Linked DNA regions of Pelodiscus sinensis. The protein of the gene in region 3 interacts with the protein of the main gene of each other region in a pairwise test. Links are inferred from orthologs where the notes say so. Each region holds a gene or a part of one and is shown on either strand. Other genes may lie near its edges. The genes, in order: DMD, SNAP91, TRAF3IP1 and EXOC1.

What was found.
Region 1: the proteins of TRAF3IP1 (region 3) and DMD interact in a two-hybrid assay, tested with the Homo sapiens proteins (2 studies listed by BioGRID and IntAct). The link is inferred for Pelodiscus sinensis from reciprocal best matches to the Homo sapiens genes TRAF3IP1 and DMD.
Region 2: the proteins of TRAF3IP1 (region 3) and SNAP91 interact in a two-hybrid assay, tested with the Homo sapiens proteins (2 studies listed by BioGRID and IntAct). The link is inferred for Pelodiscus sinensis from reciprocal best matches to the Homo sapiens genes TRAF3IP1 and SNAP91.
Region 4: the proteins of TRAF3IP1 (region 3) and EXOC1 interact in a two-hybrid assay, tested with the Homo sapiens proteins (2 studies listed by BioGRID and IntAct). The link is inferred for Pelodiscus sinensis from reciprocal best matches to the Homo sapiens genes TRAF3IP1 and EXOC1.

The regions. Positions count from the first base shown.
Region 1 is NC_134711.1:198,904,296-198,911,284, forward strand, and holds the start of DMD (dystrophin), read left to right. Parts: upstream 1-3,973; 5' UTR 3,974-4,354; coding exon 4,355-4,436; intron 4,437-6,989. UniProt on the Homo sapiens protein: Anchors the extracellular matrix to the cytoskeleton via F-actin. Ligand for dystroglycan.
Region 2 is NC_134713.1:60,610,137-60,617,594, reverse strand, and holds the start of SNAP91 (clathrin coat assembly protein AP180), read left to right. Parts: upstream 1-4,449; 5' UTR 4,450-4,600; intron 4,601-5,482; 5' UTR 5,483-5,512; coding exon 5,513-5,642; intron 5,643-7,458. UniProt on the Homo sapiens protein: Adaptins are components of the adapter complexes which link clathrin to receptors in coated vesicles. Clathrin-associated protein complexes are believed to interact with the cytoplasmic tails of membrane proteins, leading to their selection and concentration.
Region 3 is NC_134717.1:64,455,912-64,463,535, reverse strand, and holds the start of TRAF3IP1 (TRAF3-interacting protein 1), read left to right. Parts: upstream 1-4,607; 5' UTR 4,608-4,698; coding exon 4,699-4,821; intron 4,822-7,038; coding exon 7,039-7,107; intron 7,108-7,624.
Region 4 is NC_134715.1:84,576,026-84,583,222, reverse strand, and holds the start of EXOC1 (exocyst complex component 1), read left to right. Parts: upstream 1-4,193; 5' UTR 4,194-4,409; intron 4,410-7,197.

The DNA.
Region 1 (6,989 bases), on a different chromosome or scaffold from region 3:
AGCCTGAAAACTGTACAGTACTAAATTACTCTATAGTCAAAAAAATTCCATTGTAGAAAATTTTAGAAAAAAATGTTGAAATTTACTATGAAAACTTAAAATATTTTGGTCAAAAGTTGAAATTTTTATTTGGAAATCTTACTACAGTGTCTTGAGCACCCTTTCTCCTCTGTTGGTTGGTCTCTGCAGTCAGATAGCATCCTTTGGGAGGTAATCAGTAATATGCATGGAATCTTTTTGTCTCCAGTTTGTTCTTTTGAGTTCTTCTGCAGGTGTAACTGAGTATAATTTTATTGGTAGGACTTTTTCTTTGTGATGGTGGATTAAAAGGAGAAAACACAGCTTGTCTTTTTATATAGTGGGTTATATTTGTAAAGTTGGGAGTTGGACAAAACAATTTCTAAGTTGATAGAGAACAAAACTTAACAGGCATTTTTTGAGATAAAGTATCACCCCCATCCTTCCCAGAGATAATTTTAGTGAGTGTTTAAAGTGATACTAGGTTTTGAATTCCATGTGATTACTCTAAGGCGTGTCTAAGCTTTTCCATCTATATACACACATATTTCCAACTTGTTGAGAGCTGTAGACTCATGAGAAAATAGTACATATATTTACATTGAAGCAAATGAATATTTAAATGGACAGTAGTTCTGAGTTTATAGGAAGAGGGAGAACCAGGGTATGTATTCTACACAGCATTGTGGAAGTACAAGGCACTCTTAGCTGGCTTTTAAGGAAGAATATATTCCTGACAGTTTTGTGGTAAGAAATATTTGCATTGCTCAATCTGGGGTGTGAGAGAGAAATCCTGGTTATATAAGGTCTCATCCTGAGAGGTATTAAAACCTCTCAGGATTATGCCCTTAGTGAGCACCTGCCAAGTTGTCTGGGAATAGGGAAAGTCAATTTATGTGACTCAGTGGAAGCTCTCTGCTTGTGGATTTGGAAAGCCACAGTTCTGGATATTTTAAGTCACAGTATTTGTCTACAGAGTGCATTAGTGAGCTTCAGCGAGGGTGCAAATTCAAGTATGCACTAGACTGTTGTGCAGTAACTGTCCCTGTGGACATTTGTGCATGCTACAAGTTCCCTAGTGTACATTAATGTCATATTTTTTTAAGACAGGACTACATCAATGTGCACGAGGGAACTTTTAGTAAGAGCCAGAAGAGTCCACACGGAGAAGTTAGTATGCAAACTGTTGCTGCACTCTGCAAATTACACCTCAGCGGGTGCATGTAAATGCACTATGCAGGCAAGCAGGGTCCAGAAGCCTCCAAAAGCCCTTTCTGGGTTGATTCTTGTCATGAAATGTTTGTGTTTTTGAAGAAAATAAAATCACCATCCTAGGGATTCTGGAACGTGTGTTTTGTTTTGTTTTGTTTTGTTTCCTTGACTTGGTTCCAACTGGCTTTACTGTAAACTCTCCTACAACAGTAAGTGTTGCTCTTGGTTAGGTCTCCAAAGGACTTTAAGTGTTGTATTACAGGCAGTCCCCGCGTTACGTACAAGATAGGGACTGTAGGTTTGTTCTTAAGTTGAATCTGTATGTAAGTCGGAACTGGCGTCCAGATTCAGCCGCTGCTGAAACTGACCGCCAGTTCTGACTTACATACAGACTCAACTTAAGAACCCCAAGCGTCCCCAAGTCAGCTGCTGCTGAAACTGATCATCGGCTGATTCCAGGAAGCCTGGGGCAGAGCAACTCTGCCTCGGGCTTCCTGTAGTCAGCGCTGGTCAGTTTCAGCAGCGGCTGACTTGGGGACGCCTGGGGCAGAGCAGCTGGGGTGCTGCTGGGTTGCTCCAGTAGCACCGCTCCTCGGCGCTACTGGACCAACCCAGCAGCACTCCATCTGCTCTGCCCCAGGCGTCCTGATTCAGCCGATGCTGAAACTGACCAGCAGCGGCTGAATCAGGACCTGGGGCAGAGCAGCTGGGGTGCTGCCGGGTTGGTCCAGTAGTGCCCAGAGCAGCGCTGCAGGACCAATCGGCAGCACCCCAGCTGCTCTGCCCCAGGGTCCACAACAAAAGCCTGGTCTGCGGGGGAGGGGGGGGCGGCACACTAGCTGCGCCCCTCTCCCCCAGCAGACCAGGGACACGGGGAGCAGAGTGGCAGCGGGGTGCCGTGCCTCTGAGGCTTTGCTCTGGCGAAGTCTCAGGCGCGGGATCCCGCTGCGGCTGCGGCTTCAGTCCCGGTGCCCCTGGTCTGCTGGGGACCGTCTCCAGCAGACCAGGGGCACCGGGAGCAGCTTACGAACGGGGCTTTCTCGCCCCGGAGCTCGCAGGTAGCAATCCGCCACCTCGACCTCCGGGGCGAGAAAGCCCCGTTCGTAAGTGCGGATCCGACGTAAGTCGGATCTGCGTAAGTCGGGGACTGCCTGTACTTTACCTTTAAACACCTGCCCACCCAGCACAATCCACAAACCTTGAGTTAGTTGCCTATACTCCCTAGGAACTGCATGGGGAGAAAGAGGGGCTCTAGAAAGAGAGCTACAGATGCCAGCATATTGCAAGGGTCATTGCTTAAGAGAGCCAGTGGAGAATATTGAGGAGGGGGAGCAGTTTATGCCACACTCCTCTCCTGGAAGTAGGCACCTAAGCCCAGGCTGGAGAGAGAAGCCTGTCTTTCTTAGGGACCCACATCTAGGAACTGTGTCTTGGAGTGATGTGCCTAAGCTGTGTATTTTGGTGGTGGTGAGGAGGTAGCAGTTCCCCCAGTGATTAGAGCATTCACCTTGGATGGTGGGAGAAGGGTCAATTTGCCTCTCTACCTCTTGTAGAGAAGTGAGGTTGACTTGAGTCTCTCCCCTCCACTGGTCTATAGCACTCTCTCAGGCTACATCTACACTACAAGGTTTTTGCATTAAAACGGCCATTTTTGTGCAAAAACCCATGGAGCATCCACACCTCAAGTGCATTTTTGTGCAAGAAAATCTACAGTCAATTGGCAGAAGAGAGGGCTTTTTGTGGTGTAGGTATACCTCCTTCTATGAGTCATAACTCCTTTTTGGGCTACAGCTCTTGAGCAAAAAGGCATGTGTGGACACTCTGCAGGGGTTTCTTGTGCAGAAAGCCTATCCGAAAAAGCACAGGTGCTCTGATGGCCATTTGTAGAATGGCCATCAGCGCTTTCTTGTGCAATAGCATCCATGTAGTGTGGACGCGCTCTTGCGGAAAAGCGCATTGCAAAAGCAACATGCTTTGAGATGTGGACACGCTTTTGTGCAAGATGTTTTTGCGCAAGAACTCTTCTGCAAAAAACTTCTTGTGCAAAAGTTTTTTGCAGAAGAGTTCTTGCGCAAAAACCCTGCAGTGTAGACATAGCCCTACTCTCTGGATTTCTTTAACTGGTGTTGCTGAGTGGAACTGCTCCCCTGGGAGAGACTGAGAGCTTGTTTTCCCCCACAAGCAAGAGAATAGCCTTCTACCCAGGGGTTAGGTCAGTCACCTCCCAGGTGAGGAACCCAACTTCAAGTCCCTTCTGCACATCAGGTGGACATGAACCTGGGTTTGATATACTCCAGGGCTGTGGCCTAACCATTGGACTACAGATTGTAAGGGGGCTGCTCTCTCGCCTACTGCTGCATTTTTTTTTTTACCGGACCCAAATAAATCAGAGTACTGACTCATAATAGAGTGGGACTCCTAACCAAGTTTGCCTGTGACGGTCCGATGGAGGAGGGAGAGGCCAGCTTTGCATAATTAAGGGAGTGTAATACTGTGCTTTGCATGATTAAGGGAGTGTAATACTTGCCACTCCCTTGACTGGCCATGGCCTCAGGTACAGAGCCAGGCTGTTTGCCCGAGGAGTTTGTTCTGAGGGAGCTAAGGCGGGTCACTGTGGGGTGGGGGTGGGGTGCGTGTTTTTCTAAATCCCTCCCTGCATTAAAGCGCCCGCTTTTAAGTGGGGGCTGCTAAATCATTCATGCTCCTGTTTGCTTCTTTTAGCAATTTGCTCTCTAATTGCTGCTGTTTGCATTGATCGCGCGCGGGGCGGAAAGGGAGTCTCTGGAGTCTCCCAAGTTAGCTGCTGATTTATCGAGTATCAAACCTCCTCCTCTTTCACCTTGCTGGAGCCGCCGGCTCTATTTTAAGGCAGACGCGCGGGGCTCAGCACCTGTTCTCGCCTGTCCGGGGAGCAGAGTTTGACAGCTCCCAGCCAGCGCCTGGGTTGCCCGTTTCCCTTTCCTTTGCTCCTCGCTGGGGCTGGGGAGGGGGAGCCAGGCTGAGCTTATGCCCCCGCCCCCAGAACCACAAAAACCTCCTTTTGGTCAACTTTGAGTTGCAAGGCGCCTCTGGGTGCGGAGCCGGAGCCGAGCGAGAGCCCGTGTGGCGGCGGGGCGTGTTGGCCATGGCTGAAGGGGGCCGCCCGGAGAACCCCCGCGAGGAGCCTGCAGCGGACGAGTTCAGTGATATCATCAGGAGCAGATCTGGTAGGAACCGCGTGTGTGTGCACCGAGGGGGCGCCTGGGTGGGTTACATGCAAAGCCACCGACCGTGGGCCAGTGGGTCGCCTCCTCTTGTGTCCCACCGAGGAAGGAACGAATTCCTCCGCAGCTGGGGATGTGTCGGGGGAAAGTTTCTCCGTTATCCAGCTGCAAGAAGAAGATCTGACCCGAAACCCAATAAAACGAGATTGCTACATAAAGTCGTACCCTGGGGGAATGCGAAGTTCACATGCGAGGCGGGGAAGAAAAGATCACCGTTATCCCATGTATGAAAATAGTTGGATCGTCTGTAAACGAAATGAGCGCTTATTTAATTGGGCCAGACACTCATTTCCCTGTCAAGAACTCAATGCTAATGCAAGCTGAGCAGTTTGTACTTTTGGAAAGAAACCATGCTGACAAGATAGGAAATTGATGGGCAGGCATGCAAAGACCGAGGTAGCTGGTTGTATTCACTTATTGCAACATTAATGCAGTTAGCAGAGAGCGGACCAATGCATTTTTAATGCTGTATAAATAATTTTCAACACTCGAGGAGGGTTAATGAACTGTAGAGGGACGTTCCAGCAAAGTTTAGAAAACCAGGAATAAGTGTTTGGAGTGATGTTCTTAGTATGAGCTTTTCCTTATAAACTAGAACTCTTGAGCTCAGGCACTCATACAAAATTGTGGTGCCATGTGGGCAAGGGGGCAGGCCATTAAAGCTGTAAATGGAAGCAGCTGTAATGCTGGTTCCCCATATGCTAAAGTTTCAGGTGTCTGGACTCCCTCTGTTTAGACTTGGAGAGAAACCAAATCTTGGGTAGTAAAGTTATTTATAGACCATTCAGAATTTACACATTTACAATGTAAATAGACACAGAAATATAGGAGTATTTAATTATTTCAGCTTTAAAAAAAAAAGTCCACTAGTCTGCCAGAGTAAAAAGGAGAGAGGATAACAATCCCTCAGAGAGTGAGAAGTTTTTTCCAGTTCAATTTGTAAGACAGCTACCTCAGTAAAAATTCTGCTTCCAGATGATTTTTGGGAAGCCTCTGGCCTATTGGTAACTAACTTAGCTGACAAAGTTCTGGGTTGGCAAAATGTAGAATAAACTCCTTCTTTCCCTCTAGACTACTGATGCATGGTTCTCATTATCCCAGAATAGAGAGAGACTTGCAATATTATCAGTGCAATTCTTCTTTGAAATTGTACTAACACAAAGTATTTCCTTGGAATCTATGCTCCTTAAGGTGTGTCTCTTAGTATTGCATTCACTGTACAGTGGTTTTCTTAAACTCACAGATGAAAGGGTCTACTTTGTACTTGGACTTTACTGTGCAACATTTCGGAAAGTAGGATCATGGAGTAGAGGCAGTGTACTTAGTGCTGCAGAGATCCTTCCACGCCCAATTTTTTCAAAACTACTTACAGCTCTGAAAACAAAGTTTCTTTGTTGAGAAATTGCATCATTGTGCAATGGAAAAGCTGGAAAGAAAAGTTAGAGTGAGTTCCTTCCACACTGATTTCTGATCCAGATAATGGCACTGCAACCCACAGCTCAACAGTGAATCAACCCAAATCTGAACTTAGGCCACTTATATTTTGGTAGATGTAGACTAGAACCACTACACTGCACACACACAACTCTTAACCTCTTTTTAAAAGAATCCGCTATTAGCATGTTTTTCTGTATTAGAGTGGATATTAATTGGAAACTAAAAGCTTGAAGAATTACATAAAATATTTTTTCTGAATGTGGGAGGATGTGATTCTCCAGAGATTGCTTCAGGAAAGTTATAGTGGTTTACTCAGGGACATAACTTATTGCTTAGTAAATGACTCGATTGATTTTGTATTTTAAAGCATTGCTTAGTTGTGAGAAACTGCTTTTGCTTTTTAAATTGTTTTCTTTATATAGTTAATTATAATGTGAGTAACACAAAATGACAAGATGTATTCATATGTACACTTCCTTGTTGTCTCTTCCCTCTCAATTTTCCTTGAAAGCCTGTCTCCAGACCAATTTAAGTGACATAGAAACGTTGAGCACATTGTACTATAATCAGAGCAAAAACAACTCAATGTTTTAAAATAGATTTTTCTACTTTGCTCCATTTCTGTTGTACTCAAATAATTTGGGTGTTTACATTAGCCATGGAATTTAGAAAGCTGGTTTTTATATTATAACTTGCAGTGTATCGTCTCTAATAATTGTACCATTATTTGAGGGTTTAGACTGTTGACCACACAGTTTTAAATTCTAATCAGGAGGAATCTGAATTTGTTTTTTCATGGGGCTTATTACAGATGGGATTTTCAAAGGGATCTAATGGGCACTGGAAGTGAACTCCATTTACTTGCAAGGAAGCCGAGCATGTTACTCTCATAAGAAAACTAAAACCCCTCCAATACTGGACACTTAAAATCATGTTTGGAGGCTGGTGCTGTTTTTTTGGGCCAAAACTAATTGGGTGGTGGTTGCTGCTTCTTTTGCAAGAAAACAGATTCCGAAACACTGCCTGAATTTGAGACAAATTCACAGACTTGCGTTAAAA
Region 2 (7,458 bases), on a different chromosome or scaffold from region 3:
CTAATATTTATTTGAGGTTTTTTTTAAAGTTCCAGGAACCATTGTCATAGTTAGAGGGCTAGCTGCATCTCTATGTACTTACGTAGGCCTGATGTACATTAGACCAGGAAGGTCAGTTTAAGGTACGCAACTCCAGCTATGAAAAATGTGTAACTGGAGTTGGCTTACCTTAAGCCAAACCTTGGCGGCATCCACACTGCAGGAGGCCAATGGGAGCAAACAGTCCCATCAACTTCCCTTACTCCTCGCAAAAGGAGAAGTACCAGATGCTGATGGGGGCTGACCTCAGCATTCGATTTGTAGGTCTATACTAGACCTGCTAAATTCAATACCTGAAGATTGACCTCCGGAGCATTGATCTTCTGGTAAGTATAGACATGCCCATAGTGTACCCCTAAAGTCTCAGATCTTTACTTATCCTGGGACAGAATTCAGTTCTCCCACTTGCAGATCAGGATCTGGATTACAGGCTATGTATCAACCATATTCGTGCAACAGGTCTGCCTGAGACTGTGACCAGTGGAGTACAGTGATCAAAAAGCCTTCTTGAAACAAGAGTATTGTTTATTTTAACAGTAGGAACAAAGTATTTAGAGAGAAATTTTTTTATTACAAAAACAGTTTATGTCTGCCTATACCTTAATGTTTATTATTTCCAGAGGGTAGGCAGGCCTTAACTTTTTCAGACCTAGTACCTCCTAGCTCTCCACATGCCTGTGTCTCAGTTTGGTTCCCCAAAACAAGTGTCTCCTTTTTTTAATGTTCTTTTTTAAACCTGCCTACTTTTTGAATTTGAAAAGGCAATGGTATCCTAGGTTTCATGATAAATGACTAATTGATCTCACAGATCAATGAGGGCAAAGTTTCTCTCTACAGGTGTGCCTACACAGCACAGTTATTTCGAAATAACAATGCAAGCATCTACACAGAATTCTGTTATTTTGAAATAATTTCAAAATAACAGATGGCTTATTTCAAAATCTGTAAACCTCTTTACATGAGGGAGATTGGAGTCAGTGGAGACTTTGGGGCAGGGAAAGAAGGAATTAGTTGTATTGAGGATTCAATGAGAAGGAATGGAAAGGATTGGAGAGGCGTGTATGATTGGAGGGCTAGGGGAACTAAGAGCAAAGAAGACCAAGGGCAGAGTCAGAGAGCTGCAGGCAGCATAAAGAGTTGGATAAGGTGTTGCTGGGGGAGAGGTGGAGGCTAGGTATACTATGAATGACAGGATTATAATTAGCTTGACAATTTTTCTACATAAAGCCCAGTTGTGTTAAGTGCTGAAGTAGTTGGTGATGTAACTGAATGCTATACTGACAGAAACTGACAATGCCAAGATTGACCATCTTCACAAAGTAGCCAGAAGTTCACACTACAGTTCACACAGGCTACTTAATGTCATATTTTAATAGAAAACTGTATCACTATTCAAATATGTCATTCCTTTAAAGATAAAACCTGTTTTCCTTAGCTGCTTCAAGTCTCATTAAGGTGAAATTAGTAAGGATTTAGAATGGCCTTAAAATAGCCCTTTAACACCCAGCATGGTGGTTTTTTATCATTATTAAAATACTAATATCCTAGTTAAAAATACCTATCCTATCTTCTGAAATTCAGGACATTCTAAACCCTTGTTAGTTTTACTGGGCAGAAGTTCAGAGCCACCCTTATTGCCAGCGATAAAACTTTATGATGAAATAGCTGTGAAAATTAAATGCCAATTCTGTGTCTTCTATTGAAATCAGATGGTACTAGAAAATAAAGAAACCTTGAATTATAGAAAAATATTTGTGTGCATTTCTGCTATTATTGCCTGAATGGCATCTCCAAAGACCCCCTCTTTTATAATAAACTGCTGTAAAAGTTAATGTTCCACTTTAAAATGAAAGGTACATTTAAAACATTCCTCAAAATATTAATGTCTATATTTCATACAAATAAACAGTTAAAGGCACGTATTTAAATTATAGACTTGTGCAGAATGGATCTTCATTCATGGTGCTGCAGTTGAGCACAGTTAAATATACTGTGGTAAATATATATTCTCATAAAAATATATTATAAGCAAACACACAGAGCAATCTAATTTCTTATCTTGGACTTTCTACTATGAGAAGATTCAAAGCTGCTCATCACCTGAATCTTTCAATCTCCAGTTTTGAAAATATCTAGATCCCTCCATATCTACTGAATATGCCAAATTTGTATTGTAATTTACACAATCAAGAGTCTGAAATAATATGTATGGGTGTGTGTGAATATTTCAATCTGTGTTAATTCTGCACCTTTGAAAATATTGTACCGTTAAATCCATGTGTTGTCTACATTAGTTGTAAAAGAATCTAAAAAGAAATGATCACACTTAAATTCTTAAAATTCTGCCATCATTCTCAGGTAGATATGAATATGCAATTTGAACAGTTTTGAATATCGTAATTTGCTACAGATTTCTTGAAATGCAGTAACCTACATTTTTGAGCCTCACTATAATATATTAATATTTCACAGGAGTCAGGGCAGGGGGCTGGAAGTGTGGGGAGGCTCAGGGCAGGAGACTGAGGAGTATGGGGGTGGGGTCCAGGAGTCAGGGCAGGGGATGTAGAGAGGTTGGGGGTGTAGGGGTGCAGGAGACAGGGCAAAGGAGGGATCAGGGCAGGGGGCTGGGGTGTACATGTGTAGGAAGAAATGTTGGGGGGGGCTGTGGCTGGGTAACATTACCTGCTGTGGGTAACATCACCTGCTGGTGGGTGGGTCCTGGGTGGGTCCTGCCCAGCTGCTACTATTTGCTGCCAAAGGAGCTGTGAGCCAGCTGTGTGCCAAAGACATCCTGTCCATAGGATAGTTCGGGGCAGCTGCCTCAAGCCCTGAGCTTTGGGAGTTCCAATGGCAGCTGCTTCAGTCATCCTATGGATGGGTCTCAGGGCTGCCTGGGGGATTACCAGGGGCCTGGCGCAGGGCAGCAGGAAGGCTGTTCCCACGCTCCCCAAACTCACCACAGCACTGGGGAGCTGGGCAACTCAACAGGCTGCTCCACCCCACCACCTTCTTCCAGCCCATTGTGCTTGGCTTCACCTCGGCAGTGGGAACAAGAGCACAAAAGGCTCAGTGAGAGTAGCAGAGCAGAATGGAGTCAGCTGCTGGGTTACTCCAGCTCCCACCACAACAGTGGGGGTGGTGGGGAACCCCTACTTAAGTCACTGGGGGAAGGAGGCTTTAATAAGGCGACAGAGCAAAGGCAGGAAGTGGTGGGGTGGAGAGGCTTAGGGGAAAATGTAGGGGAGGAGCAGGGCGTGGGACCTGTGGGGGCAGGGTTGTTATGGGGTTGCCACCCCCTTCACCTGGCTTCTTTCCAAAGGCCGCCCACAGCAGTGCATGCCGGGCACTGCACATGTACTGCCCAGCATCCAGCGAGAGAGGGGCAGCAAGAGCCTGGCTGGGAATGCACTTGCCTCCCCTACAGCATGCTCCTGTCAGCCTCTTTCACATTTGCCTACCTCACCTGGCTGCTTGTGGTGTGTGGGGCCACCTGCAGCAGGGGAGCCCTGAGTGCCTGCCTGGGAGAGCACTCCACAAGTTTTGCAGCATGCCTCTACCTGCATCAGCATTTCCAGAGTAGCTCACAAGGTCACACCACCTCAGCTTCATCTTTGCTGTCACAGAACAGAAGAACCAGTAATAGGGAGCAGATTTAAAACAAACAGAACATACTTTATCACACAACACACTGTCAACTTATGGAACTCATTGCCAGCGGATGTTGGAAGGCCAAGAGAATAACTGGGTTAAAAAAAGAAGCAGATAAGCTAATGGAAGACAGGTCCATCCATGGCTATTAGATATGATGGTCAGGGATGCATCTCCACGAAACCCCTTTGACTTCCATAAACTGGACCTGGAGAATAAGGAGTGAATCATTCAGCATTACCCTGTTCTATTCACTCTCTCTCAGACGCACCTGGCACTGGCCACTATGGGAAAACAGAATACTGGCTAGATGGACATTAGTCTGACTCAGAATGGCCATTTATATGGTAACTGTAGTTCAGCTTCAAGAGGCTTAAATTAGCCACCCAAATATCTGCAGTTTAAAAGTGTCTGTGTGTCTGTGTGTACATACACCTGCCCATCCTCAAAGGAGCCTGGATATCAAACATAATTCAACAGTTTAAAATATTTTAAAATACTAAATGTTTTGCAAACGGTCAAAGAAATATTCTAATATGAACATAATCCCACCCCCGTTTAAAGGGAGAGAGACCCAGCCAGAAGATGAAAGAGGCAAACCAGGCAAGGAGGGAGCAGAGGCAAATGAGAGAAGATGGTGCAAGAAACAATGGGGGGTGGGGGGATTGAGAACCACGCGCAGCGCAGGGGAAGCGAAGCCCCGAGAGTGGCTGGAGGGGCTGGCTCACCTTGGGGCTGGGTGCGGGAGCCGGCTGGGTGTCCCCTTTAAGAGCGCGGCGTGGGGGGCTCTCCCTACGGCACCTAGCGGTCCGCACGTCCCGGTTTGTCCGCGCCGGGTCACCTGACTTGGCTGAGCCACAAACCTGAGGAGGGGCCGGGAGGAGCAGGAGGGCGAGGGCGGCGCGCCGGGCTGGTACATCCATTGCTGCGCGGCGGAATTGGGCTAGGAATAGCGGCGGGCGGGGCCGCCCTCACCTGGGGCCGGGAGCCTGGCCCGGCCTGCGGGCACCGGCGGAGGAGGGGCTCGGCTCGGCGCCGCGGCGGGCGGGGGCGCTTTCCCCGGGAGCGGAGGGAAGGACGCGCTGACAGGTCGGCTGCTGCCTCCCAGCCCTGCACGCGCCGCTGCCTGCGGCCGGGTCAGCTCGCTGCAGCCGCGGCATCCCCGCGGGGCCTGGGGTGCCCTGAGCTGCTGGGGGGCTGCTCCGGCCGGCGGCCTGCCCTTGCTCCCGGAGCGGCCGAGAGGCGCGGGCTGGGGGTGGGAGCGGCGCAGGGAGGGCACAACATGGCGCAATGATGCGATAATCCCCCAGCAGAGAGGCGCGGGGAGGCAGGCGCTGGGAGCTCCCGTTTGCTGCAGTAGCAGCGAGGAGCGGCCCCGCCCGGGGGGCTCAGTCATTCCCGGGGGGCTCGCGGGGCTGCCAGGAGCGCGGCGCGGGGGGGGGGGGGGAGGGCTCGTCTTCTTCCATCTCCCCTTCGCCTAGCTCAGTGGGAGAGGAAGGTGAGTTCCGCTCGGCAGCGGCTGCTGCCCCGGTCGCGTTGCGCGAGGGACGCAGGTTGGTGGCGGGGCGGGGACGGATGCGTTGTGTGTGCGCTGCCTTTTCTTCTGCAGTGCCTGGAATACCCAGTCTTGCCCCGGGAGCTGCTCCGGGCTCTTCTGGCAACGCACGCAGCGGGGCGGGGGAGGAAGGATTGTCTCTGCTGGAAAGGGCCCCGGGGGCTGGAAGAGCAGCGTCTCTCCTCGCTTTGTCATTAAACCCGGACTGTCTCCTTCTCCCCTGTGTTTCCCCGCTTGCAGAAGAGGCAGCCGCACTAACGTTAGTCGAAGATGTCGGGTCAGACGCTGACAGATCGCATCGCAGCTGCTCAGTACAGCGTTACAGGATCAGCTGTAGCCAGAGCCGTCTGCAAAGCAACCACACATGAAGTGATGGGGCCCAAGAAAAAACACCTGGACTGTAAGCATCTCTTTATATAAGCATTACATCCTCAGGGCTAAGAAGGCAGCCTAGTGCCTTAAATGTTCTGACAATAGTATTTGATATTATCAACCCTTCAAATCAGAAGGCTTATGAGAGTAGCTGGTATGAGGGGGAGGGGAGGAATGGATTTTATTCTTGCATATCTTCTGTAGTCCCATAATATTGTTCCCTCAGCCATTTTCTCTCATTTTGACCTCTAGCCTTAGTCCAGAAAGGCAATTCTGAAAGGCGATGAGGGTTATTGTACCCACCTATGACTTGAGTCATGATTAGGTTGCTTTTTGACATGGATACTGAACCTGGAGCTAGAGTATTGATATATGTATGTGGTTATAATACAAAGATGGACTCAAATTTTATTATGTTGAGTCAAGGGGTTTTTTTTTTTTTTTTTTTAATAAGACTATTGTGTCAAGGGACCCAGTTGTTTGAGGAAAGCAACTATCTCATCTGCCTATCTGATGTACCTCCCACAGTGTTTTGGGAAGAAGACTGCTGGTTTGCTACTGTACAAACTAGAGATTTAAAATCTGTTTTGGACATAGAGAGTATTTAACTTGAAACAAGAGCAAGTGCACAAGTTCATGGCATCCCTGAAAAATAATGGCATATCTGTAATGTTTTGCGTGTGTGTGTGTCGGGGGGAGGGTGTTTTGGTAACTTAACATGGGTTCTTTCTGATTCACTGTTATTTCACTTTTGACTTTGAGAAAGAGGTGGGCAGAATTTAATCATACAGCGTAGAGCTAATTTTTACTGTAGCTTGGTTTGGACAGAAAAGTGTATTTGTACCGCAATGTCTTGATAGTCTTGTAAGGTATTTGAAAAATGAGGGGTTTTTTGTTTTGTTTTGTTTCATTTTTTGTTACAGATTAGCAAGATGTTTTTCACTGTTTAGTATCTGGAAATATTAGCTCAATAACTGTCTCTTTAAAGCAGTGTTTTATACTAATACTAGTCAATTTGTGTTCAAATATTTGTATTAAAATTATATTATACATTTGCTATTCAAAAGGACAAATAACTTCTGACAGTATTTCACATTCTAGTGTTTACTTCAGATACTCCTTGTACCTATAATCATTATGTAAACCCTGTACTTGAAAGTGGTACTTGCTGCAGATAGTCATTTGCCAGGTACACTTGAACACATGAGGATAGATTCGTAATGTGTGCTAGGTGTTAGAGTGCTGCTTAAGTTTTGTTGCCTCAAAGTAGTTGTTTGTTTAAAAAATCATAATTGGCAATGATTCTTGCATATTGAATTTAGACAATCATTAGTACATGTTGCAACTGGTTAGTCTAGGTACATAAGTGCAGGTCAACAAGCTCAGTTAACAATATATAAGGCAGTGTACTTTATCACAATCAGTAGAACCAGGAGTGACCCATAGCTAGGCCATGTGATTGTGGCTCACATAGTATATTCTAATTCAACAGAATCTGAGACTGAATATGTTCTATGTTTCTTGCCTTCATGATTAAAAGGTTAGCATCACACATGTGAAACAGGTGTAAACTGAATCAGCGCTATTTGAGTCTTCAGGCTTCAAACAAAGCTTCTGGGAGTTGTGAACTCTCTCCTGTTCCGTTGGACTCCATTAATAGCCGTAGGATACCAAATGTAAATGCTACTTATGTTTAAATATCAGTATTAACTATTTAACTACTGATCTCTTGAGTGGATGGGATGAGGAAAAGACTCAAGTCCACAGCTGAAATGGGAGGGAAGGATTAGACATGGAAAGAAAATGCAGTAGGCCGAGGTTCAGAAAGTGACAATCAAGTAGAA
Region 3 (7,624 bases):
TCTTAACTGAGTTGCATATTTTTCGTGTTCAGCCAGGTGGTAAAGTTAAATTCCTTATGCTTAACAATCTTGTCTGCATTTTAGCTGTGACACTCTGAGTACATTTCCCAGAACTGGCAAAGAGTTCTGTGTAAGCTCGAAAGGTTGCCTCCTCCACCAACAGAATAAAAGATGTTCAATATCCAATAGAAGATATTCCTTTCCGCACCTTGCCTCTCAATGAGGAGAGAACAGATTCAGAGAAAGACAATAGCTGGAGGCTTGTTGTAACATGTTCCTTCACTAGATATAATAGGAACCGCTTCTCCTGATTGTACAAGCAGATTTGTTTCATCTACACTCAATAGTTTACAAAGTCCATTTAATTTGAGTCAAGAGAATAAAACAAACAAGATTTTCTATTGACATTCAATGGTGTATACTTTTGACAACACAAAGGCTGGTTATCACAGTTTTGGTTTTATTCAGAGCTACCAAACGCTGATAAGGCAGCCAGAGTTGTATGAGGGGTCAGACTAGCCTCGTCTAGTCAATAGATTGAGCAGACAAATGTTAAAAGAGAAACAATAAGTTTTTAAATGCTTGCTACAGAAATGGAACATAAATGACCAAAAGGAACAGGAAGATGTTCAATATCTAATAGAAAACTGGAAAACTGAAAGGATGATCTAAACAGGTACTTTCATATCTGGAAAACAACCCAAAATGGCAACTTACACACTTTCTTGGTTTCTACCTAGAGCAAAAACAGTGGCAATAGTTTTTTTATCTTGGGGGGGGGGGGGGGAGGGGAGGAAAAATCAGCTTTGCTTGAAAGATTTATAGATCATAAGCTTTCATGGGCAAAGATCCACTTCGTCAGATGCATGTAGTAGAAATTCCAGAGGTGGGTATAAATAGGCACATGAAAAGAAGGGAGTACCAATCAAGAGGAAGGCCAGAGAGGTCAATTTAGTCAAGGAGGATGAGGCTCACTTCTAGCAGCTGATAAGGAGGAGAAACTGCTTTTGTAGTTGGCTAGACATTCAGTTTTTGTTCAATCCTAAATTGATAGTGTCAAATTTGCAAATGAATTGTAGTACTGCAGAAGTACAATTCATTTAGGGTCTGACCTCTCAGCGTCTGAAAGTTTGATAAAACAAATCTTCAGGCAGGAGCTGCCAAACAAATATGTTGAGTGTGTGCAGAGCCATAGTCTATGTTGTTTAAAATAATGGACTAAAAACCAAGTTCCATGCGGAATAGCAATCATAGAACCATAGGACTGGAAGGGACCTCGAGAGGTCATCGAGTCCAGCCCCCCGCCCTCAAGGCAGGACCAAGCTCCGTCTACACCCTCCCTGACAGATGTCTATCTAACCTGTTCTTAAATATCTCCAGAGAGGGAGATTCCACAACCTCCCTTGGCAATTTATTCCAATATTTGACCACCCTGACAGTTAGGAATTTTTTCCTAATGTCCAATCTAAACCTCCCTTGCTGCACTTTTAGCCCATTACTCCTTGTCCTGTCCTCAGAAACCAAGAGGAACACATTTTCTCCTTCCTCCTTGTGACACCCTTTTAGATATTTGAAAACCGTTATGTCCCCCCTTAATCTTCTTTTTTCCAAACTAAACAAGCCCAGTTCATGAAGCCTGGCTTCATAGGTCATGTTCTCTAGACCTTTAATCATTCTTGTCGCTCTTCCCTGTACCCTTTCCAATTTCTCCACATCTTTCTTGAAATGTGGCGCCCAGAACTGGACACAGTACTCCAGCTGAGGCCTAACTAATGCAGAGTAGAGCGGCAGAATGACTTCACGAGTTTTGCTTACAACACACCTGTTGATACAACCTAGAATCATATTTGCTTTTTTTGCAACAGCATCACACTGTTGACTCGTATTCAACTTGTGGTCCACTATGACCCCTAGATCCTTTTCCGCCGTGCTCCTTCCTAGACAGTCATTTCCCATCTTGAATGTATGGAACTGATTGTTCCTTCCTAAGTGGAGCACTTTGCATTTCTCTTTATTAAACTTCATCCTGTTTACCTCTGACCATTTCTCTAACTTGCTAAGGTCATTTTGAATTATGTCCCTATCCTCCAAAGAAGTTGCAACCCCACCCAGTTTGGTATCATCTGCAAACTTAATAAGCGTACTCTCTATCCCAATATCTACATCATTGATGAAGATATTGAACAGTACGGGTCCCAAAACAGACCCTTGAGGAACTCCACTTGTTATCCCTTTCCAGGAGGATTTAGTACCGTTAACAACAACTCTCTGACTACGGTTATCCAGCCAATTATGCACCCACCTTATCGTGGATCTATCTAAGTTATATTTGCCTAGTTTATCAATAAGAATATCGTGGACATCCATGTCTTCTGGGCAGTTTGACCCTTAAGGAGTAATAGTTATTTTTAAAATATTGAATATCAGCAGTTCACAAGAATGTTCCAAGAAAGTCTGTTCCCTAGCACATGCCAATTCTCTTCTAGTGCTACATTTTCTTGGAGCACTTGGCTTGGTTATGTCTCTCAATTTTGACTTGATTTTACTGTTCCTAGACATATCTATTTAGCTGTATTAAAATGCATTTGTCTGCTTAACAATCCAGATAACACTGTAGCAGTGACCTGTCCTTTTCATTATTGACCACTGCACCAATTCCACATTTTTTGCTTCCAGAAAATATCTCCTCTCTCCTTTGGAATGTTCCTGGAAACTGAATGGAAATACTTTGCTCAGCTGTGTACTCCACGGATAAGAAGTCTCTAGTCTTCATATTTCTCCCCTTTTCACAGATCCCACTGCTGACACCATGTCACAACTTCCTACCATAATGTGGTGAGATTGAATGGAGCTCCCACTCAGTGCAAGTTCTAGCCAGGGCACCTAAAATAGAGACCAAACCTCCTCTGTGTCATTAATGCAGGACACTTCCTTCAATTCCAAGTGCTTCTCTGTGGGCCCAGAGGGATGTCCATAGTCTGTGGGCTGTTTAGCCTTTGACTCTAGCTAAACCAATCCACCCTTTCTCAGCATACCAACTCGCCATCCAAATAAACAGTGAAGTTCACATTTAACAACCCCTGAGGACTCTCCCTCCCAGTCTCTCAGGCATCATAGATACTTCATGGAGAGCTAGTGGCAGAAGTCCAAATGAACCAGACCATTCCAAAATAAACACAGTTCCTCCCCAGCTTCTTCTTCCCACTCCTCTGGATTCCTAACAAGACTTCTTACAAAGTCCTTGGCTGTAGGAAAGTGTCAACACCTCCTCTTCCCAGGCTCCTCAGTTCCCCTGAGGCAGAGTTAGTCTGGGAATCTCGTCAATTTCAGATTGTCTCAAAGGGAGAGGAAAGAGGCAAACTACTTCCTTTGAGCTCTTTGTGCTGAAGTACCTTCTATCAGGTGTCCAGAGGCAAACTTGCCTGAACTAATGTGAATTTGTGCCTCTCTCCCCCACCCCCTAATTTGTTTCTGAAGCAGTTTGAGAGTCCTGATCAGTTAGTCTCACTCGGCCTCTCAGCTGTCCCCCAGCACTTGGACTTGAGTTTGTCTGAGGAAATACTAATGTTTGGGGAAAGGAAAGTTGGGAGGGATACCAGTCAACCTGTAACAATTCCTGCTTTAGTGCTGGGAGCTTGGGCTGATAAAGGTGTATAGGTATATGGGCTCAGCGAGTGCTCCACAGACTTTTGAAGAGTCTACATCTGCCTGCACTAGAAGCAGCTGGGGTTTGTGTCTCCTTGTCATCTCTGGGGTGCCTGAGCAGTGAGTCAGGGCTTGGGGTCAGGGTCTGGGAAGACAGATAGCTGAGACCCAGACTTGCCCACCATGGGAAAGCTCAAGGTTTTGCCCTTCTGTCACGTGGGACTCATGCTGACCACAGAGCTTCCAGTTTGGCATGAAATCATTAGCTTAGTGGGAAGTGCAGAGAGCCCGCAAGAGACCTGCTGGAATGGGAGCCAGGCCAGCTCGGGCCTCTGGGGAGAGAGAACTTGGGGTGGCCCTTGGGCAGGGACAGACTCAGCCCACAGGCACCATAGGTACAGCCAGGTGAGGTGTATACCCCTGTGGGGAGATGAAGGGTGGCAGGGAGCTGCTGGGCCCAAGTGTGCCCCACAGGCATCCCTATTGCCCCATACGCAGCCCTGTGCCCCAATTGCCCCACAGGCATCCCTATTGCTCCACGGGCAGCCCTGTGCCCCAATTGCCCCACAGGCAGCCCTATTGCCCCATAGGCAGCCCTGTGCCCCAATTGCCCCACAGGCATCCCTATTGCCCCATAGGCAGCCCTGTGCCCCAATTGCCCCACGGGCAGCCCTATTGCCCCACGGGCAGCCCTGTGCCCCAATTGCCCCACGGGCAGCCCTGTGCCCCAATTGCCCCACAGGCATCCCTATTGCCCCATAGGCAGCCCTGTGCCCCAATTGCCCCGTGGACGCCCCTGTGCTCCAAGAGCATCCCTATTTGCCCCCGCCCCGCGCGCCAGCTCTGCCGCCCGGACGCCCGGCCAGGGAGCGCGGCAGCGCCATTGGCTCCTGCGCGGCGGGGCGGGGCCGGGGGCGGGGCCGAAGCAGGCGCCTTCGGCCCGTTGCTAGGGCCGCGGTGGGCAGCGAGCGGCCGGGGCGCTGCGCCTGCGCACGGCGGGGGCGAGGTGCATGCCGGGAGGGCGCAGCCGGAGCCGGCCCGGCCGGTGCCGCCATGGACGGGGCCGTGGTGCGGCGCACTCAGGAGTCGCTGGGGCGCGTGATCCGCAAACCGCCGCTCACCGAGCGCCTGCTCAGCAAGCCGCCCTTCCGCTACCTGCACGACGTCATCGGCGAGGTGGGGGCGCCGCGCGGCCGGTTGCTAGGCGGGGCCCGGGGGTGGGGGGCTGAGGGGCGGGGCTCGAAGGGTTCTGGGGGGCTCTGGTAGGGCGGGGCTCCCTAGGGGGCGCTGGGGGGCTCTTGAGGGCGGGGCTCCCCAGGGGTGCTGTGGGCTCTGTGGGGCAGACCTCAGGGGGTGCTGGGGGGCTCTGGTAGGGCGGGGCTCCCCAGGGGTGCTGTGGGCTCTGTGGGGCAGACCTCAGGGGGTGCTGGGGGGCTCTGGTAGGGCGGGGCTCCCCAGGGGTGCTGGGGGTTCTGTGGGGCAGACCTCAGGGGGGTGCTGGGGGGCTCTGGTAGGGCGGGGCTCCTCAGGGGGGTGCTGGGGGGCTCTGGTAGGGCGGGGCTCCCCAGGGGTGCTGGGGGTTCTGGGGGGCGGGGCTCAGGGAGTGCTGTGGGCTCTGGGGGGCAGAGCTTAGGGGGTGCTGGGGGATTCTGGTAGGGCGGGGTTCTCTGGGGGCACTGTGGGCGGGGCTCGGGGTGCTGGGGGACTCTGGAGGGCAGAGCTCCCCAGGGGGTTGGACGCAGGACCCCACTGGCCTGGGACCTTGGTGAGCCCCCCCCCCCCCCCCCCGTGGTGCCCTCCCATCTGCCTGGAGGAGGGCGTGCAGCAGTAGGGGGAGGGGTAGCTATTTACCTACCTACCAGCAGCTAGGGATGTGAATGGGTAACTGGTTACCTGGTGAGCATCACCCTTATGCTTCTGCTGCCACTTCCCCTTCCCTCAGGGGTGCAGGAGCAGAAGCTGGCTCCCCTGAGCACAGAGGGGACAGAACCCTGAGTTGGAGGGTGGGCACATGCAGGAGCAGGAGCCCATTTGTTTGGTTAAACCAGAGGTGTAACTAATTAACAGATTACCTGGGATTTTACATCCTGACCAGCAACCCTTCTATTGCTTTGGTTTCTCTCTCACTCTTTTGCCTTTTCCAATGTGTGAAATGGAGGCAAGAATTTTTGCTCCTCTTAAATAAAAAACAACACCCACCCCCATCTCCCAAACCTTACAGCTGCAGGTGAAAGATATTACCAAAGTAGAAAACATTTGTGGTCGTTAGTACTACAGTAGGTGCTTGTTTACAGCAACACCTTATAAAAGCAACCACTGCTTATGAACATTTCTCGTGGGAATGCTTTCCCCACCCACCATGACCTGGCAGCAAGCCCTAGAATTGCAATAGGTGTTTAGAAGCTAAGTAGCAAAAGGCGCCCCTGTGTGGCTACTAATGAACATCTACTATAGAATAAAAGGTGAGCACTCCTACACTCTGAAAGATATTCACAAAGCTTATCCTTTTTTGCCTTCTTTTAGTCAAAGGAAGGTCAAAATGGATTATTCATTAGAAGATGTTAAATTCCCTGAACTCAAGTATGTGCATGTCTATTAAGAAATCAGCCACCACGTGTTAGGCAGTAACAGAATACATCGGGACTGTCGTTAAAGTATATGGCCTTTGGGTGTATTAACTGTAATTTTCTGCGTAAAACAAAAAGGCTTCATCTACACTGCAGGCTATTCTTGCACAAAAACTTGCAGAGCGTCTATGCTGCACGCGCGTTCTTGCGCAAGTAAATTTACAGTACAGCGTTGGAAAACACGGCTTCTTCCAGAAGAGTTATTCCTCTTCCCATGAGGAATAAGCCCTCTTGCGCAAGAGCTCTTCCACAAGAAGGCAGTGTAGACAGGCAATAGCGGTTTCTTGTGCAAGAAAGCCCTATGGCTAAAATGGCCATCAGAGCTTTCTTGCACAAGAGAGCATCCACACTGCCATGGACACTCTTGCGCAAAAGCACATCTCTTCCACAAAAGCACATGGCAGTATGGACACACTCTTGTAGAAGACCTTTTGCACAAGAACTCTTGTGTAAAACAGTTCTTGCACAAGAAGTCTGCAGTGTAGACGTAGCCTTTAAAGTGAATCTTCTGTACTGCAGAGATATAATGATTCAAAGGAAGGAGACTTTAAAAAAAAAAAAGAGCAAGCTTCAAATGACTTATTGAAACCCATGACAGAAGAGATCATTGCAATAGAAAGGATCTTTAAAACTGCACCACCAAAATAGTTCAGCATGAAATAGCATCCCTCCAAGTGATTGCAGAAAGTTTGTAAAAGATGGGGTTTTTTGGAAGCTTTCTAGTTTTTTTTTTTATTATTATTAATTTACTGTGTTTGCTTTGAAGGTAATTAGAGTGACTGGTTTTATGAACGGGCTTTACACAGACTTTGAGATGAAATCTGATAATGTGAAGGTGGGTTTGAAATTTCCTTATTTAATGTTGGAATTCTTTATAACTGGTCACTAGCTATTGCCACTTTGTTTCACTGAATTCTATTTACTATGATAAACCTACACTCATCTGAAGCTAATGCCCAGGAATATGCTTAAATGCTGCCTTTTTAAAAGTGTGGTGGTGGTGGTGTGTTGTGGTTGTGCATAGGCAAATAACTCTAACTTTTTGTGTATTGTTTACTTACATAAAAAACGTTGAGATTTTTACAGAATCTGTTGGTGTTGTTTGATATCTTGAGAACTGTTTATTAAACACCTTTTGTGCATATTCTTACCAAGTTAGGTGCTTGTACATGGAGCGGTAAAGTGAATGAGTTTTCATGTCTGGGTGTCTGAGTAATGAAGTGGAGCTCTGGGCCCTTTGGAAAGATTGTCATGTGCAGGAGCTCTGTAATGGACTGTCAATGTCATGAGCTGCATAAAAAGCTCCAACACTTGTGTTAGTAGTTAACAGGTATTTTATTGTTTGCAGAAGT
Region 4 (7,197 bases), on a different chromosome or scaffold from region 3:
CAGTATCAGATAAATTATAAATGGAAAAATCGTGACAGATCATCTAGCCCATTTCTCTACAAATGCAGAATTGTTCCCTAGAGCACCTTTTCTGGTGTTTTAAACAGTGTGGTTTAAAATGTGACAGCTGAGGCTTCCGCTAATTCCTGATGACGGTATTCCAAAATATAATAAGCAGAGAGACAGCAGTGACAGACACTTAGGCTATGTCTACATTGGCAAGATTTTGTGCAAAAGCGCTTGCTTTTGCACAAAATTTTGCCGCCTGTCTACACTGGCCGCGAGTATTTGCGCAAGAACACTGATGTTCTACTGTATGAAATCAGTGCTCCTTGCGCAAATACTCTGACGCTCCCGCTCAGGGATAAGTCCTCTTGCGCAAGTATTCTTGCGCAAGAGGCCAGTGTAGACAGGTAACATCAATTTCTTGCGCAAGAAAGTCCGATGGCTAAAATGGTCATCGGAGCTTTCTTGTGCAAGAGAGTGTCTACACTGACACGGATGCTTTTGCGCAAAAGCAAATCTTTTGCGCAAAGGCACATGCTAGTTGTGGGGGTTTCGGGGTGCGATCACCCCTTCTTGGTCCGAGAGGGGGGGTCAGCGAACCCTAGTGCCCCCTCTTAGTGCCTATTCGGCCCCCGGGGCCCCAATGGGGAACCCCCGACAATGGGTGCAATCACCCCCTCCCAGGAGGAAGGGGGGGTCAGCGAACCCGTCAATAGTTACCCGTCTCTGCGGGGTGGGGCAGCAGACCCCTGGTTCAGAGTTTCCCCTTGCGGGGTTGTGACTTGTAGCGTCTCTCTGTTCAGGCCGTGGGTAGTGGGATGTTCCCTTCGTGGAGGGAGGGGGACCCGGTCCCACCCTCTCTCCGGGTCCCAGCCCGGGGCCCTAAGCTTGACTGTGCACTCTGTGAAGGAGTTCCACAGGTTGACTGTGCGATCTGTGAAGAAGAACTTCCTTTTATTTGTTTTAAACCTGCTGGTCATTAATTTCATTTGGTGGCCCCTAGTTCTTATATTATGGGAACAAGTAAATAATTTTTCCTTGTTCACTTTCCTTATTCACCACTCATGATTTTATAGACCTCCCTTAGTCTCCTCTTTTCTAAGATGAAAAGTCCTAGTCTCTTTAATCTCTCCTCATATGGGACCCATTCTAAACCCCTAATCATTTTAGTTGCCCTTCCAGTCATGGGTACTGAAGCTGTTTTAAAGGATAGATTACAAACCATAGTTTATAGTTCTGCACTTTCACATTTCAGGACTAAATCGAGAATTGCCTCTCCCCTTGTGGGTTCCTATACTAACTGCTCCAAGAAGTAGTCATTTAAAGTATTGAGAAATTTTGTCTCTTCAGCTATTCGATAGTTCAGGTTACAACTGTATTTCCATGATAAGCCAATTCCATTGCCATTCTCTCCTCTAAAACCCACAAAGGCTTAGTAGGCTAAAATCTGTAAGACATAGATTGCGATAGAATATTTCTACCTTATTTGAAGTGAATTGGACAATGGAAGAGTTCAGGTTGCCCTGACCAGTCTTATTTTAGGTCCTTGTTCCTATTGCAGATGAGATCCAATTTATGTCATGCTACCTCCACTCCTGGGATAGCCCAGAGCTCTCCCCTCCACTATTCTTTGTCCTGTCATCTGGATACTCCACCTCCATGTATTTCCACAAAATAAATTAAAGACTTCCTCATTTCTTCTTCCAACATAAACTGAAGGCTGTTTTATGTTATCAAAGAACACACTGTCACAAGGGGCAGAGTTAAAATTAGTATAGCAAAATGTAAGGGTCCCTCAGTCCACTTATGGAATGAGAGCATGAGAGGAGAGGTGAAAGTGTTATGCATGCCTTAAAAGAGACTCTCATAATGTGTGTGTTAAAAGATGTAACCCAGTGTATTAATTAATTCTTAACATTGTTCTTTTGGTTTTGTGGCAATAGAAATAAGACAGAAAAACTGGGAATTTTAAAAAGTGATTATATAAGTAATATGCTGCTAAAGCTGCATACAAATTCTATACAATCTTTTACAGGCACTTTGTCCAGTCTGCTATAGATCCTACGAGAGACAGTTATATTTTGTGGTTAGAGTGAGAAATTATCAGATTGTAAATTTTCTTTTAACCTTGCCCCTCATGAATGATACATTACAGAAGAAGTACACAGTATATTGTTTTATGAGTTACAAATGTAATATATATCCACCTAGAAGCACGTCCCTTGGTACTTCAATATTGACTGCCAGTAACCTGCAAGAATCTCAGTCGTATCTCATTTCTTCATGTGTGAGAGACTTGCAGAGCTGTGAGAATATGATTTTATGTCTACTGGGGGTAGGTCAAGAAGTAATGGGCTAATCTGTGGCAAGGGAAACTCAGGTTAGATATTAGGGAGAATTTTCTAACCCTCAGGAGATTTAAGCTCTGGACTAGGTTTCCATGGAAGATTGTGGCACCCCCTGTCACTGGAAAATTTTAAGAACATGCTGGACAAATACCTGTCAGGGATGTTGAAAATGTATATGGTCCTACATCAGCACAGAGGAATTAATGACCTTTCAGGGTCTCTTTCAGCCCTATATTTCTATGATAATTTATGCAACTGCTGCTAAATGTGAATGAGGTTTATTGACCACGAAGAGAAGCTCACTCACAGTATAGACCAAATTGCAATCTCCTCTTTCAAGGTTGATGGGAGTTATATGCCAATGTCAGGCAGAATTTAAACACAATCTCTCACTGTATCATTGTGTGTTGTGATCCTATCAGATCTAATTAGCTGTGCATGCCTGAGCTGAGTCTTTCTTTGAAAGGTCAAAATCCAAACTGTAGATGTTGCAGATGTTAGTGCTTCTGTGTCCTATTTTCCTCTGAATTAGTACTGGTGCTAGAGTACATGGAGCTGCTGGAGATGCCTTTTGCTTAAGTGTAAAACCAAAGTCCTGAACCTTTCTGGTTACTAAAATTTCATTGATACTTTTTGCAAAAGAAGGGGTATTTATTCTGAAGTAATGAATAAATTCCAAATCAGGTAATTCCTTGCAGTTTTAATAGGCTATGGATTTCTTCATTTCTTATCCAAAACTCTTGGGTGGTTTTGCAAAGTACTATTAAATAACTTCCGCTTTCAATTCCAGATATATCTGCTTTTCCATTATGTGTAAGGTGAGCCATTTGGCCTTTACTTATCTGAAATTGGGGTTATGGGACTTAATGTAAAGTGAATTTACTACTCAAACAATGTGTTATGTTGTGTCGCAAATACTCCCACTCCAGTATTCATGGATATTGTCATTTGCAAGGATCTCAAGAACATATCGCCCCATGAATAGCGAGGACTTCTTGTGATCACAATTGTATTCTGTATTGTAATTTAAATCAATATGTATTAAAATGTAGAAAAATGCCAAAAATTTAATACATTTCAATTGGTATTCTATAGTTTAACAGTGTGATTAACTAAAAAATAAATTCTGCTTGGTCACAATTCTAATCAAGAGTTAACTGCAACTGACAGCTGTAGTAATTAATGTTACTTCCAAAACAAAAATATCCCCAATTTTTTAAAAAAATTATAAAATCTTTTAGCTGTCTCCATCACAAAGCCATACACAAACATCATATACCTCAATATGCAATCAACGTTTGCTTTTGTTGCATCCTACTTAGAACCATCATTTGGTGTTTTGTCTACCTGGTTGCAAACTCATTGGGACCAGGCACTTTATCTCCATATTTTCAGGTAAAGCTCTGCATAAGGAATGAGACTAATAGTATTTTACATGCCATTTGGACTGAATTAACCCCGTCAGTGAGAAGTAGAGGGCAATTCTCTCTGGAGTTAGGCTGCATCCCCAGATCACCTGCCAAAGGGATTCTAGTCAGCAGAAAGATAAATGTTAAAACATACATTTTAAAATGTAATTCTGCTCTCAGGTGCTTTGGGGGCCCGACTCTGATGACCCTGCTGCCCCACTTTGCTCCACTCTCCCCATGCACACCACAGGAGTTAATGAGCCTTCCGCCTCCCACAGTCCCAGATCAGCTGCCCCCCATCTCCTCCACAGGTGAGCCCTCTCCCTCATGCCTGAGCTCCTATTGGCTCGTTCCACCGTTTCCCCGCCCAGTTCCTCGCAGAGCGCGGCGGTGGCCGGGCTGTTGTCCCTCCTGCCGGCAGGGGTCGCCCTCTTGAGACGCGGCAGCCCTGAGGCCCCTCCCAGTGGGCTGCGGTGTTTCCGGACCCTGTCACGTGACAGGAAGAGGTCGACGCCGCGGTTCTGCGTTGCGGCAGCCGCGGCCGGATCTCTGCGAACGGTGGCGTTAGATGGGTCGGAGGCGGAGCCGCTGCGGCCTAAGGAGGAGCCACCACCCCAGCCCCTGCGCCCGCCTGCGCGGCCCCGCGGTAAGGGAGGGGGGCGTCGGCTCCGGTAGCCCCGCTGTGCACAGAGAGCTGCGAGCATCCCTCGCGCGGAGCCCAGCGGCCCCGCCTGCGCCTGGCTCCCGGCTCTGCAGGGGCAGCCCCGCGCGCTGTGGCCTGACCCCCCCCCCCCCGGCCCCTCTCTCCCTCCTCGCCATCGGCGGCGGCCACGGGCATCACGCCGACCGGGCCCCGCGGCGTCACACGTGTCTCCCGGCACCGAGCGGGGGCCAAGGGGCGCGGTCCCGTCGGGCCAGGCTGGGAGCGCCCCGCGGGAAACGCGTCAGCAAATGGGGTAAAACCCGCAGCGCCCGCGACGTGGGTTCAATGTCTCTCTCGAATAGACCGGAGTGTGTGTTGCCCGGGATCTCGGAGGCGTTTAGGTGCAGTCTCGGGAGGGGGGACTGGGTCTGTGCTGGGACAGGGGCCAGTCCTGCTGCCTGCTCCGTGCCGGATACAGGACATTCACCCTGGGAGTTCAGCATATGTAGCTGTCGTGGCGAGGCATACGTTGAAAGCTTGGAACGGGCTGTTCATTATAATCTGTATAATCTCTTCTGCATATATTGCAGATAATACTGACACCAGAGACAAATAGGACTAGCATATGTATGATGTAGGGGACCTAAGCACAACTAACAGTCAGTGCTAACTCTTAAGTTGCTCTAGTTATGTTATTTAGGGGTAACACTGGAGACCTGTAGTTAAGTTGATCTAAACTTAACTAGTATGGAGGCCACTAGTTAAATTACATAATTTACTTAACTTAAATTGTAACTTAGATTGATTTACAGCAGGTGGGAGCCAATACACTCAGGGAGCCAGCTTTTAAGTTGGCCCCCTGTGCATGCTGTACAGAGCTGCCTCCCACCCACCTGCACTCATGGCTCCCACAGAAGCAGCAGCATGGGTTAGGGCAGCCAGGAGCTGGTTCTCATGGGGAGTCTGCTTAAAAGTGGGCTCTCTGCAGGCACTGGCTCCCGCCTCCTTTCCCCACATGTAAAAGTGTACCTGCTAAAATGTTCTGCTAGTACACAATTATACAAATAACACATTTTAACATCCCTAATGTACACATTGTTCTGGTAGCTTTGGTAGCGTCTAAGGAAAATGTTTTGCTGGGTTTAATCTGTGTTGTGATATCAGTACAGCCTATGGCAGTGTTTCCTCAATGGTGTTCTGTGGAACCTCGGGGTTCAAAGTGAAAATAAGGGTTCTGCAAGAAAATATTGTCATTTTTGTTTTTAAATATTTGCAATTAAACTAAATGGTGATCTCATGACCTTGTTTAGCATTTGTTTATTATTATCCTTACTTATTTGTGGTCTCCTTTTTCAGTTCCATATATAAGACTCTTATTAGGGGTTCTGCAAAATTCTTTCAAGTTTAAAAGGGTTCTGTGGCCAAATAAAATTGGGAAACATTGGTCTACGGCATCTCACTAGACACTTATGTAATCTCATGTACATCTTGAAATAGAGAAGGAGACAGCTTCTAAGAATATTTAGGTAAGATGATTATGGAAGAGAAGCAGGTACTGATTGCTACAGTGTGTGCAATTAGAGAGAAATGAATGGTATTGCAGATTATTCGTATTACTCTTTTATTACTTTATCTGCCTTTGAGCCAGGGTCATGGGTGAAGACTGCATTGTGCTAGGTGCTACACAAACACAGTACTGAAAGATAATTCTTGGCCAAAGGAGCTTGTACTCTAAAGACAAGACATGAGACAACATATGGATTCAAACAGATGGAGTACAAGGAGACAGAGACAATATTGGTCGTAAACAGTGGTCACAGCATATGAGCCCCCCTATCATCAAGGGTGATGGTTTGCTTTTTTTGAGGGGTGGGAGCATCACAGCGAGAGAAAGTATTAAGGAGGGATATGAAGGAAGATAAGTGGATAGCTTTTTGAATGTTTATGGTGAGCTCTTCTCAAGTACAAGTGAGAGTATGAGAGAGAGCACAAAAGTGCTTATTTGAAAACTAACAAGTGAATTATGAAGGCTGACCTCATGGGCCAATTGGAGGTGATGATCAGTAGCCAATGAAAGACAAGCAAGGTGCGGATTGTCTATGAAAGTACTTGAAAGTGAAAATGAGCAGTTTAATGTTTGATATCCTAAAGGAGGGGGAGCTAGTGGAGGGATGCAAAGAGGGATAACATTGTTGAAGTTGCAATGCTGCATTGTCTCATTTAGCTGTGTTAGGTTCATAGTACTTACAGTGAACTGCAGCAAAAATTGCAGAGGCTATAAGATCAAATGGCAAATGTGTAGGGGCATATTACAGTCACTATTTAGTAGTAGTTAGGAATCTTCAACCCCACCTTTCAAAAGTGGCACTCTTTGTTACTTTCAAGACAAAGAAGATAAAACAGTTACTCACCTTTTATAAGGTAAGGGGAGGGATAGCTCAGTGGTTTGAGCATTGGCCTGCTAAACCCAGCATTGTGAGTTCAGCCCTTGAGGGGGCCATTTAGGGATCTGGGGCAAATCTGTCAGGGATAGTACTTGGTCCTGCTGTGAGGGCAGGGGACTGGATTCAATGACCTTTCAAGATCCCTTCCAGCTCTATGAGATGGTATATCACTACAGTTCTATGAGATCTCTTCATCCAGATGGATCTAATGAGTCTCCTCCATCCCCATTTTTTCAGCATCCCCTTTACTTGAGATTCTGAATTAGTATAGGAACTGAGGGTTGATTGAGGCAGCCCTTCCTTTATGCCCTTGGGTAGGTGGGAGCACAAAGACATGCATAGCCACA